Saccharomyces cerevisiae S288C: one gene and its partner. Changing the gene in region 1 together with any one later gene gives a genetic interaction. Each region holds a gene or a part of one and is shown in the gene's direction. Other genes may lie near its edges.

Region 1 (5,010 bases):
ATTTGAGGAGACAGATAATATATATAATTTATGATCACGGTGATGAAAGACTGGTTCCTTAACATTCGCAGTTTCCACGGTAGGAGTACGCTTACGAACCCATCGTTAGTACTCTCGGTGACCGCTCTTCTTTAGAGACCTTCCTAGGATGTCTGAGTGATCGTATACTGTAGTATCTTGTGTTTACTTTATCAAACCAGCTTACCAACATTGGAATAGTTGGTTGATTTTTTTCTAGCATCCGAATGGATCTTGTATTTCCTTAATATGAAGTAGACCAGTAATCTGAATCCTGCTAGCTTAAAAAATGCGTTGAATATATATTATTAAATATATATATTTGAAGGGGAGTTGATTACATAACAGTGGCTATTCTTGCAATGGTATCAGAATTATTATTGTTGTTGTTGCTGTCGTTCTCCAGATTCTTGTTCGATTCCTTTGACCATCCATACAGATTACTCTTATAATCATAATGATAAAAGACGGGTTCAAAAATACGTTCATTATTCTCCTCCATAACTATTGTGGGAATGTCATTCAACATCAAGAATCTCAAATGAGGAAAACTTTTCAAAAAAGTAACGTAAATCGACTTGAAGTGATGGATAAGAGCGTGATAACACATAATAATATCTCTTTTGGTCAATGATTCATGAGGAAGTTCCAGGTCAGTGGAAATTGTAGCTGCTGTGTCATCACTACTTGGAGGAATGGCCGCATTAATTTCATCATCATCATCATCGTCATCGATTATTATCATTTCGGGCTCGCTCATATGAGCGGTTGATGTGGAAGTCACGGTGGAGTGTTGATGTGGGTTATTAACGATTTTGGGCACCAACTGGGATTTAGAATTTCTATATTCCAAAAGGTTGCGGTTCATCTTGGTCACAAAATTAGTCAAATTCATTGGTTGTGTTCTAACGCTCGGATAAGCATCACAAGCTTTAGAGTATGGTAACAAAGATAGGTATTTCATCATTTTAAAAATATCCTTTGCAGCAATGTCTTGAAGATCGTGAATATAGTAGTCTTCAGGGAACATGAATATTTTGCCCTTCAGAATGTCACTGAATACTATTTGACAGTTTGTGCAGTTGCATTGCTGATTTAGTTGGAACTTATTTTCTTGAATATTGATGATTTGTGGGATAAGACCGTCGTATCTCAGATCTATGAATTGCAATTTGGAGCAAGCTAAAAGAATGGAGAGAAATATGTGAGGATTTGTGGGTTCAGGTACATACTCCTCTAAGAAATCCATTTTTAGTCTTTTCAAATTGGTTAACGAACTAAAAAGATCTACGAGGATATGAACATCCTGCTTAATAGAAATCAAAGACAAATCTTCCAGGTTCTCAAATTCTTTAAAATCTTTCAGCATTTCTGTCTCGCGTTTTAACAAAGTGTCATTCCAAGAAATGATGGTAAGAATTTTCAATGTCCTCTTGTCAAAAACCTCCGATAGTTTAGTCAGAGGATTGCCGGGTCGTATCTTTTTAACAAAATAATCATTATTGTAAAACTCCCTCCTCCAATGCAATTTTAAATCGATGATTTGTAACTTGATATCTAAAGGGTAAAGATAATTGAACAGTTTTAAAGGGTCGATGAATAAAGTCATATGAGAAAGCCGAGAAGAGATACGCTGTGAAAGATATTTGGTGAGATTCGGAATGTAATTTTCGGGAACAACCATCTCAGGCAATGAATTTGGAGGAGCCATGTCGAAACTTGAGACGTTGCTCCTGGAAAAGTGACCATTGGAGATGATATCGTTACAAGCCGGGTCAGTGACGTTTTCTAGTCTTTGCAAGGACTTGCCCTGATTGCAAAGGATGCTGAGAATGGACCTTTGCAAGGTAGAGTCCAAATCCCAGTTGATCCTTATCCACTGGATGACTTCAGTAATGTGAATATTATTTTGCAGTGTTTCTATAAGTTTTTTCAATTTGCAGTTGGCGATATCGCGGGACTCCTCTTCTTTCAACGAAGACGGCAAGTTCAGTAGGGTCCAATTAATTGCGAGATGCATGAAGTCACTCTTCACTACATTTGAGTCGTTCAAATATATTCTTCTATAAAGCAGTTTGGTAGCGATCTTATTCAACCTTTTGTTCACAAGGCAAAGCTGCAAGCGGTCTGGTTGCGGCAAATGAGAGAATACTTCTTGCATGAGCTCATCGGGGAGCTTTGTTAGCGGGAACACGTAGTTTTTGCTCTTGGCGGCGAAATTTATGTTAATATCGTTAATATCTCGTAGCGCTGAAGCATCTGCGTTACTTTTATTGTTTCTGTTAATGAACGCTGCTTTTTTCTTCTGAAAATAATCTTGAAATGGCATGATATGAATATAAGCTGAGTTGTAAACACTGTGTATAGACGTCCTGGATATTTTGCACGGAAATCAGATCTCCATCGAAATCTACAATTCGCTTATAATCTATATATATTCCTCTTTGTGTGGGACGATAAAGTAGGGTAATACTTGCAATGAGAAAGAATACTCTGGTGAACAGGTGCATTTTGAGAGGGAAATAGGAACTAAGAAAAACAAGTAGAGGAAAAGGGGTGTAGTGCAGTGCAGTAAAGCGTTGCATTGATCGTATCTTGATAGATATACCGGTATATTACTGAACGTTTACATTCACCCTACAACATTTATAAATCTTATATATTATACATGCAAACTCGTATTTGTGAAGTGGGCATATAGTTTTTCGCTATGTATATAGCGGATGAGTGCGTTGGGATTACTATTTCTTTAATGCACGTGATGAAGGCTCGTTTTCTTTTTTTTTTTTTTTTTTTCTTTTTGGGAACGGGGGAAAAGGTCTCACTAGTATATAAAGGAAAGAGAGTACAGCACGAATGAGCCAGCTGCAGGAAAGGGGCTAGGTTAAAAAATAAAAACCCAGCAGAAAGCAAACAACCAAATATAATTTAGAAATGGACAGAGACCATATTAATGACCATGACCATCGAATGAGCTATTCCATCAACAAGGACGACTTGTTGTTAATGGTTTTGGCGGTTTTCATTCCCCCAGTGGCCGTCTGGAAGCGTAAGGGTATGTTCAACAGGGATACACTATTGAACTTACTTCTCTTCCTACTGTTATTCTTCCCAGCAATCATTCACGCTTGCTACGTTGTATATGAAACGAGTAGTGAACGTTCGTACGATCTTTCACGCAGACATGCGACTGCGCCCGCCGTAGACCGTGACCTGGAAGCTCACCCTGCAGAGGAATCTCAAGCACAGCCTCCAGCATATGATGAAGACGATGAGGCCGGTGCCGATGTGCCCTTGATGGACAACAAACAACAGCTCTCTTCCGGCCGTACTTAGTGATCGGAACGAGCTCTTTATCACCGTAGTTCTAAATAACACATAGAGTAAATTATTGCCTTTTTCTTCGTTCCTTTTGTTCTTCACGTCCTTTTTATGAAATACGTGCCGGTGTTCCGGGGTTGGATGCGGAATCGAAAGTGTTGAATGTGAAATATGCGGAGGCCAAGTATGCGCTTCGGCGGCTAAATGCGGCATGTGAAAAGTATTGTCTATTTTATCTTCATCCTTCTTTCCCAGAATATTGAACTTATTTAATTCACATGGAGCAGAGAAAGCGCACCTCTGCGTTGGCGGCAATGTTAATTTGAGACGTATATAAATTGGAGCTTTCGTCACCTTTTTTTGGCTTGTTCTGTTGTCGGGTTCCTAATGTTAGTTTTATCCTTGATTTATTCTGTTTCATTCCCTTTTTTTTCCAGTGAAAAAGAAGTAACAATGACAGAAGATAATATTGCTCCAATCACCTCCGTTAAAGTAGTTACCGACAAGTGCACGTACAAGGACAACGAGCTGCTCACCAAGTACAGCTACGAAAATGCTGTAGTTACGAAGACAGCTAGTGGCCGCTTCGATGTAACGCCCACTGTTCAAGACTACGTGTTCAAACTTGACTTGAAAAAGCCGGAAAAACTAGGAATTATGCTCATTGGGTTAGGTGGCAACAATGGCTCCACTTTAGTGGCCTCGGTATTGGCGAATAAGCACAATGTGGAGTTTCAAACTAAGGAAGGCGTTAAGCAACCAAACTACTTCGGCTCCATGACTCAATGTTCTACCTTGAAACTGGGTATCGATGCGGAGGGGAATGACGTTTATGCTCCTTTTAACTCTCTGTTGCCCATGGTTAGCCCAAACGACTTTGTCGTCTCTGGTTGGGACATCAATAACGCAGATCTATACGAAGCTATGCAGAGAAGTCAAGTTCTCGAATATGATCTGCAACAACGCTTGAAGGCGAAGATGTCCTTGGTGAAGCCTCTTCCTTCCATTTACTACCCTGATTTCATTGCAGCTAATCAAGATGAGAGAGCCAATAACTGCATCAATTTGGATGAAAAAGGCAACGTAACCACGAGGGGTAAGTGGACCCATCTGCAACGCATCAGACGCGATATCCAGAATTTCAAAGAAGAAAACGCCCTTGATAAAGTAATCGTTCTTTGGACTGCAAATACTGAGAGGTACGTAGAAGTATCTCCTGGTGTTAATGACACCATGGAAAACCTCTTGCAGTCTATTAAGAATGACCATGAAGAGATTGCTCCTTCCACGATCTTTGCAGCAGCATCTATCTTGGAAGGTGTCCCCTATATTAATGGTTCACCGCAGAATACTTTTGTTCCCGGCTTGGTTCAGCTGGCTGAGCATGAGGGTACATTCATTGCGGGAGACGATCTCAAGTCGGGACAAACCAAGTTGAAGTCTGTTCTGGCCCAGTTCTTAGTGGATGCAGGTATTAAACCGGTCTCCATTGCATCCTATAACCATTTAGGCAATAATGACGGTTATAACTTATCTGCTCCAAAACAATTTAGGTCTAAGGAGATTTCCAAAAGTTCTGTCATAGATGACATCATCGCGTCTAATGATATCTTGTACAATGATAAACTGGGTAAAAAAGTTGACCACTGCATTGTCATCAAATATATGAAG
Region 2 (4,135 bases), on another chromosome or scaffold:
GTGTGTGTCCTCTGGAATTGGTGACCGCATCCATGACTATCAAATATTGGACGACATCTGTGAACCCGGATGTGTTCGTCATTATTTTCTATGTTTTGGTGATTACTATTAATATTTTCGGTGCTCGTGGTTATGCAGAAGCTGAGTTCTTCTTCAACTGTTGCAAAATTTTGATGATGACTGGGTTCTTCATTCTTGGTATTATCATCGATGTTGGTGGCGCTGGTAATGATGGTTTTATTGGTGGTAAATACTGGCACGATCCGGGCGCTTTCAATGGTAAACATGCCATTGACAGATTTAAAGGTGTTGCTGCAACATTAGTGACTGCTGCTTTTGCCTTTGGTGGTTCAGAGTTTATTGCCATCACCACTGCAGAACAATCTAATCCAAGAAAGGCCATTCCAGGTGCGGCCAAACAAATGATCTACAGAATCTTATTCCTATTCTTGGCTACCATTATTCTACTGGGTTTCTTGGTGCCATACAATTCCGATCAATTATTGGGTTCTACCGGTGGTGGTACTAAAGCCTCGCCATATGTCATTGCTGTTGCATCCCACGGTGTCCGTGTCGTCCCACACTTCATTAACGCCGTTATTCTACTTTCCGTGCTGTCCATGGCTAACTCCTCCTTCTACTCCAGTGCTCGTTTATTTTTAACTCTATCCGAGCAAGGTTACGCTCCTAAGGTTTTCTCCTACATCGACAGAGCCGGTAGACCATTGATTGCCATGGGTGTTTCTGCATTGTTTGCCGTTATTGCCTTCTGTGCTGCATCTCCCAAGGAAGAACAAGTTTTCACTTGGTTATTGGCCATTTCTGGTTTGTCTCAGCTTTTCACATGGACTGCCATTTGTTTATCCCATCTTAGATTTAGAAGAGCCATGAAAGTCCAAGGGAGATCTCTTGGAGAATTGGGTTTCAAATCTCAAACTGGTGTTTGGGGATCTGCCTACGCTTGCATTATGATGATTTTAATTCTTATTGCCCAATTTTGGGTCGCTATCGCCCCCATTGGTGAAGGTAAGCTGGATGCACAAGCCTTTTTCGAAAACTACTTGGCTATGCCAATCTTGATTGCACTTTATGTCGGCTACAAGGTCTGGCACAAGGATTGGAAACTGTTCATCAGGGCAGACAAGATCGACCTAGATTCTCATAGACAAATCTTTGATGAAGAATTAATCAAGCAAGAAGACGAAGAATATAGGGAACGTTTGAGGAACGGACCTTATTGGAAAAGGGTCGTTGCCTTCTGGTGTTAAAAAAAAAAGCATTTACTTCTTTTATATTTATTCATTTTTGTACTTCTGTTTTGTAGTAATAGCATACGTGTAATGATAGACGATTTTCATTTTAATTCTAGTCCTTTATGAGCGAAGAAAAAAAATAAAAAGCACTAACGATTGCGTGATGGAAGTGGAGAGGAAAATATAAGTGAAATAATATGAAGTGAGAGAAAAATGATTTCCTTTTGTTCTTAATGCAACAGAAGAGGTTTGATTTCATCCGCATATGCAATTTTGCCTTAGTAGGGGTGCAACCGTTTTCGTCGTGCATCAGGAACGATCTTCTTGCCTTTTTTAAAAATCTACGTTAAGAATTTTTAATTTTGTTAAGGTGTAATTAGCATTAGAATGACTGAAGCATTCAGTTTAACCAACTTGTTCTGCGATATTTTTACTTCTGAAATAACAATGTCTGCGAGTGTTACTTGATTATTAATCAATATTTGTCAATGCTCTTCCGAATAATTTTTCAATTTGTCAGCTTTGCTCTGCGCTTTTCCTTACTGCGACAATAAATGGCAAAGGAAAAAAAAATACAGTGTCATTTGCAGATATGACACACTTTAACACCTGAGTGGGTCATCACTACTTTGTGTTTGTCTCCACCCATGTTGTGATCGAAGAGAGATATAAAGGTTGATCATTTTTGGTTTTTTAAAGCTATATACACCATCAAAATCAAGAACACCAGACCTCCAAGCCAAAGAAATGTCCCCAACTGGAAACTACTTAAACGCTATTACAAACCGTCGTACCATCTACAATTTGAAGCCCGAATTACCACAAGGTGTCGGTTTGGATGATGTAAAGAGAACTGTACACGTTATTCTCAAGAATACGCCAACAGCTTTTAACTCACAAGTGAATCGCGCTGTCATTATCGTTGGTGATACACACAAAAGGATATGGGATGCTGTTGCGAGCGCAATGCCAACTGCTGAAGCCAAGAAGAGACCAGAGTCTTGCAGAGATGAGGCTTACGGTTCAGTCATTTTCTTCACTGATGAAGGACCAACTGAAAAACTGCAAAGAGATTTTCCAGCCTTGGCAGCCGCTTTCCCAACATGCGCCGCTCATACGACCGGTGCTGTGCAAATTCAGTCTTGGACTGCCCTCGAACTATTGGGATTGGGGGCTAATTTGCAACACTATAATGACTACGTCAAATCTGCTTTGCCTCAAGATGTTCCTATTGCGTGGACTGTACAATCTCAATTGGTCTTTGGTGTTCCAACTGCCTTGCCAGAAGAAAAGACTTTTATCAATAACGTAATCAACGTTTATCACTGAACAGGAAATTCGCATATGAGGAGATCTTAATTTATCTCATGAAGTAATGATACCTCAGCGATGTGCTCGCTCGTTAGTATGCTTCATAAATTCATTATTATTTTTTTTTGGAAGTGTTTTTCGACAAAAGTTGCATTTTTACGAAGGATATGTAAACTCAAGAAGTACTAAATAAATATAAATACAATTCGAAAATTTGAAAAAAGTAGGAGACAACACTTTCCTTCCTCACGAAGAAGTTAAGCTTGGGTTTGTGACTTACTAACGTCAACGTACAATCGCGTTACAAACAAGATGCTTGCATTCTTACCTTACATTACAAGGACTTAGACGAAGAAAAAGTTCAGAAACACTGCTTACACTATTCACCAGACCCGCTCCTTCTCCTAACATCAATAACGAACAGCACTATTGATGTAAGAACGTCTTAGCTTAGTAATAAAGCTCTACCTTGTTATCGTACAATAATCCAGTATACCGCTTTTACTAATGATTATTCGAGAAAAATCGGACTGTGGCGTTTTACGTGAAAATTACGTAAAGAAAAAGATCCTGGGGTGCCTCGAGCTTTTCGGGCTAGGGTCTTGGCATTTGCACCTTGTCCAAACTACAGTATATAAGGACACCATACTGAAGGAACTGACTACATAATTTGTACTTTTTTCGTAGACTGAAGTATCCTATATCAACATATATACAAAAAAACAATCCAATATCATGTCTGCTGTTGCAACTTATTTGAAAACTTTAACTGCTCGTCGTACTATTTACGCTTTGAAACCGGAGTTACCTGGTGAAATTACTATCAACGACATCCAATCCGTCGTCCAAACCATCATTAAAGAAACACCCACCGCTTTCAACTCCCAGCCAAATCGCGCTGTTATCTTGACTGGTGAAACTCACAAAAAAGTTTGGGACGAAGTGACTAAGGCTATAGAAAGCCCTGCCGGTCAAAAGAGGCCTGCTTCAGCAAGGGATGAGGCCTTTGGTTCTGTAATCTTCTTCACCGACGACAAGGTAACTGAAAAGCTAAAGGCTGACTTCCCAGCGTACGCAGCTGCATTCCCTAGTTTCGCGGACCATACCTCTGGTGCCGCTCAAATCAACTCGTGGGTTGCCTTGGAGGCAATGGGCCTGGGTGGTCACCTACAACACTACAATGGTTACATAAAAGCTGCTTTGCCAAGCAAAATCCCTGAGTCTTGGACCGTACAAGCTCAATTAGTCTTCGGTACCCCAGCCGCACCTCCAGGTGAAAAGACCTACATCAAAAACGATGTTGAAATCTTCAATTAAGGAACAGTATATAAGTACAGAATTATAGGTATAGATTAAATGCGAACGTCAATATTATTTTCATCAGTCGTATTCTTGGAGACAGTCACCAGGCACAATGCCTCTATCTTCATTGAGGTATCTTTTATCGTCAACACTGACGTGAATAGAACCCTTTTGTGTATTACACTTTTCTACCAGACACCATCCATCGGTATGAGTGGCCAGAATTTTAACTTTTTCACCCAGCGAGATTCTTATTTCGTCTGTCAATC

The links.
Region 2: mutations in SNA3 (region 1) and FRM2 together harm fitness more than expected from each alone (negative genetic interaction), as found in Saccharomyces cerevisiae (one large-scale study listed by BioGRID).

What each region holds. Positions count from the first base shown.
Region 1 is NC_001142.9:134,716-139,725, reverse strand, and holds SNA3 (Sna3p), read left to right. Parts: upstream 1-2,952; coding exon 2,953-3,354; downstream 3,355-5,010. Other genes in the region: SCF ubiquitin ligase complex subunit DAS1, read right to left, coding at 356-2,347; inositol-3-phosphate synthase INO1, read left to right, coding at 3,793-5,010.
Region 2 is NC_001135.5:73,151-77,285, reverse strand, and holds FRM2 (type II nitroreductase), read left to right. Parts: upstream 1-2,000; coding exon 2,001-2,582; downstream 2,583-4,135. Other genes in the region: amino acid transporter AGP1, read left to right, coding at 1-1,268; HBN1 (putative nitroreductase), read left to right, coding at 3,300-3,881; FUS1 (Fus1p), read right to left, coding at 3,945-4,135. UniProt on the Saccharomyces cerevisiae protein: Type II nitroreductase, able to reduce 4-nitroquinoline N-oxide (4-NQO) into 4-aminoquinoline-N-oxide (4-AQO) via 4-hydroxyaminoquinoline (4-HAQO), using NADH as reductant. involved in the oxidative stress response.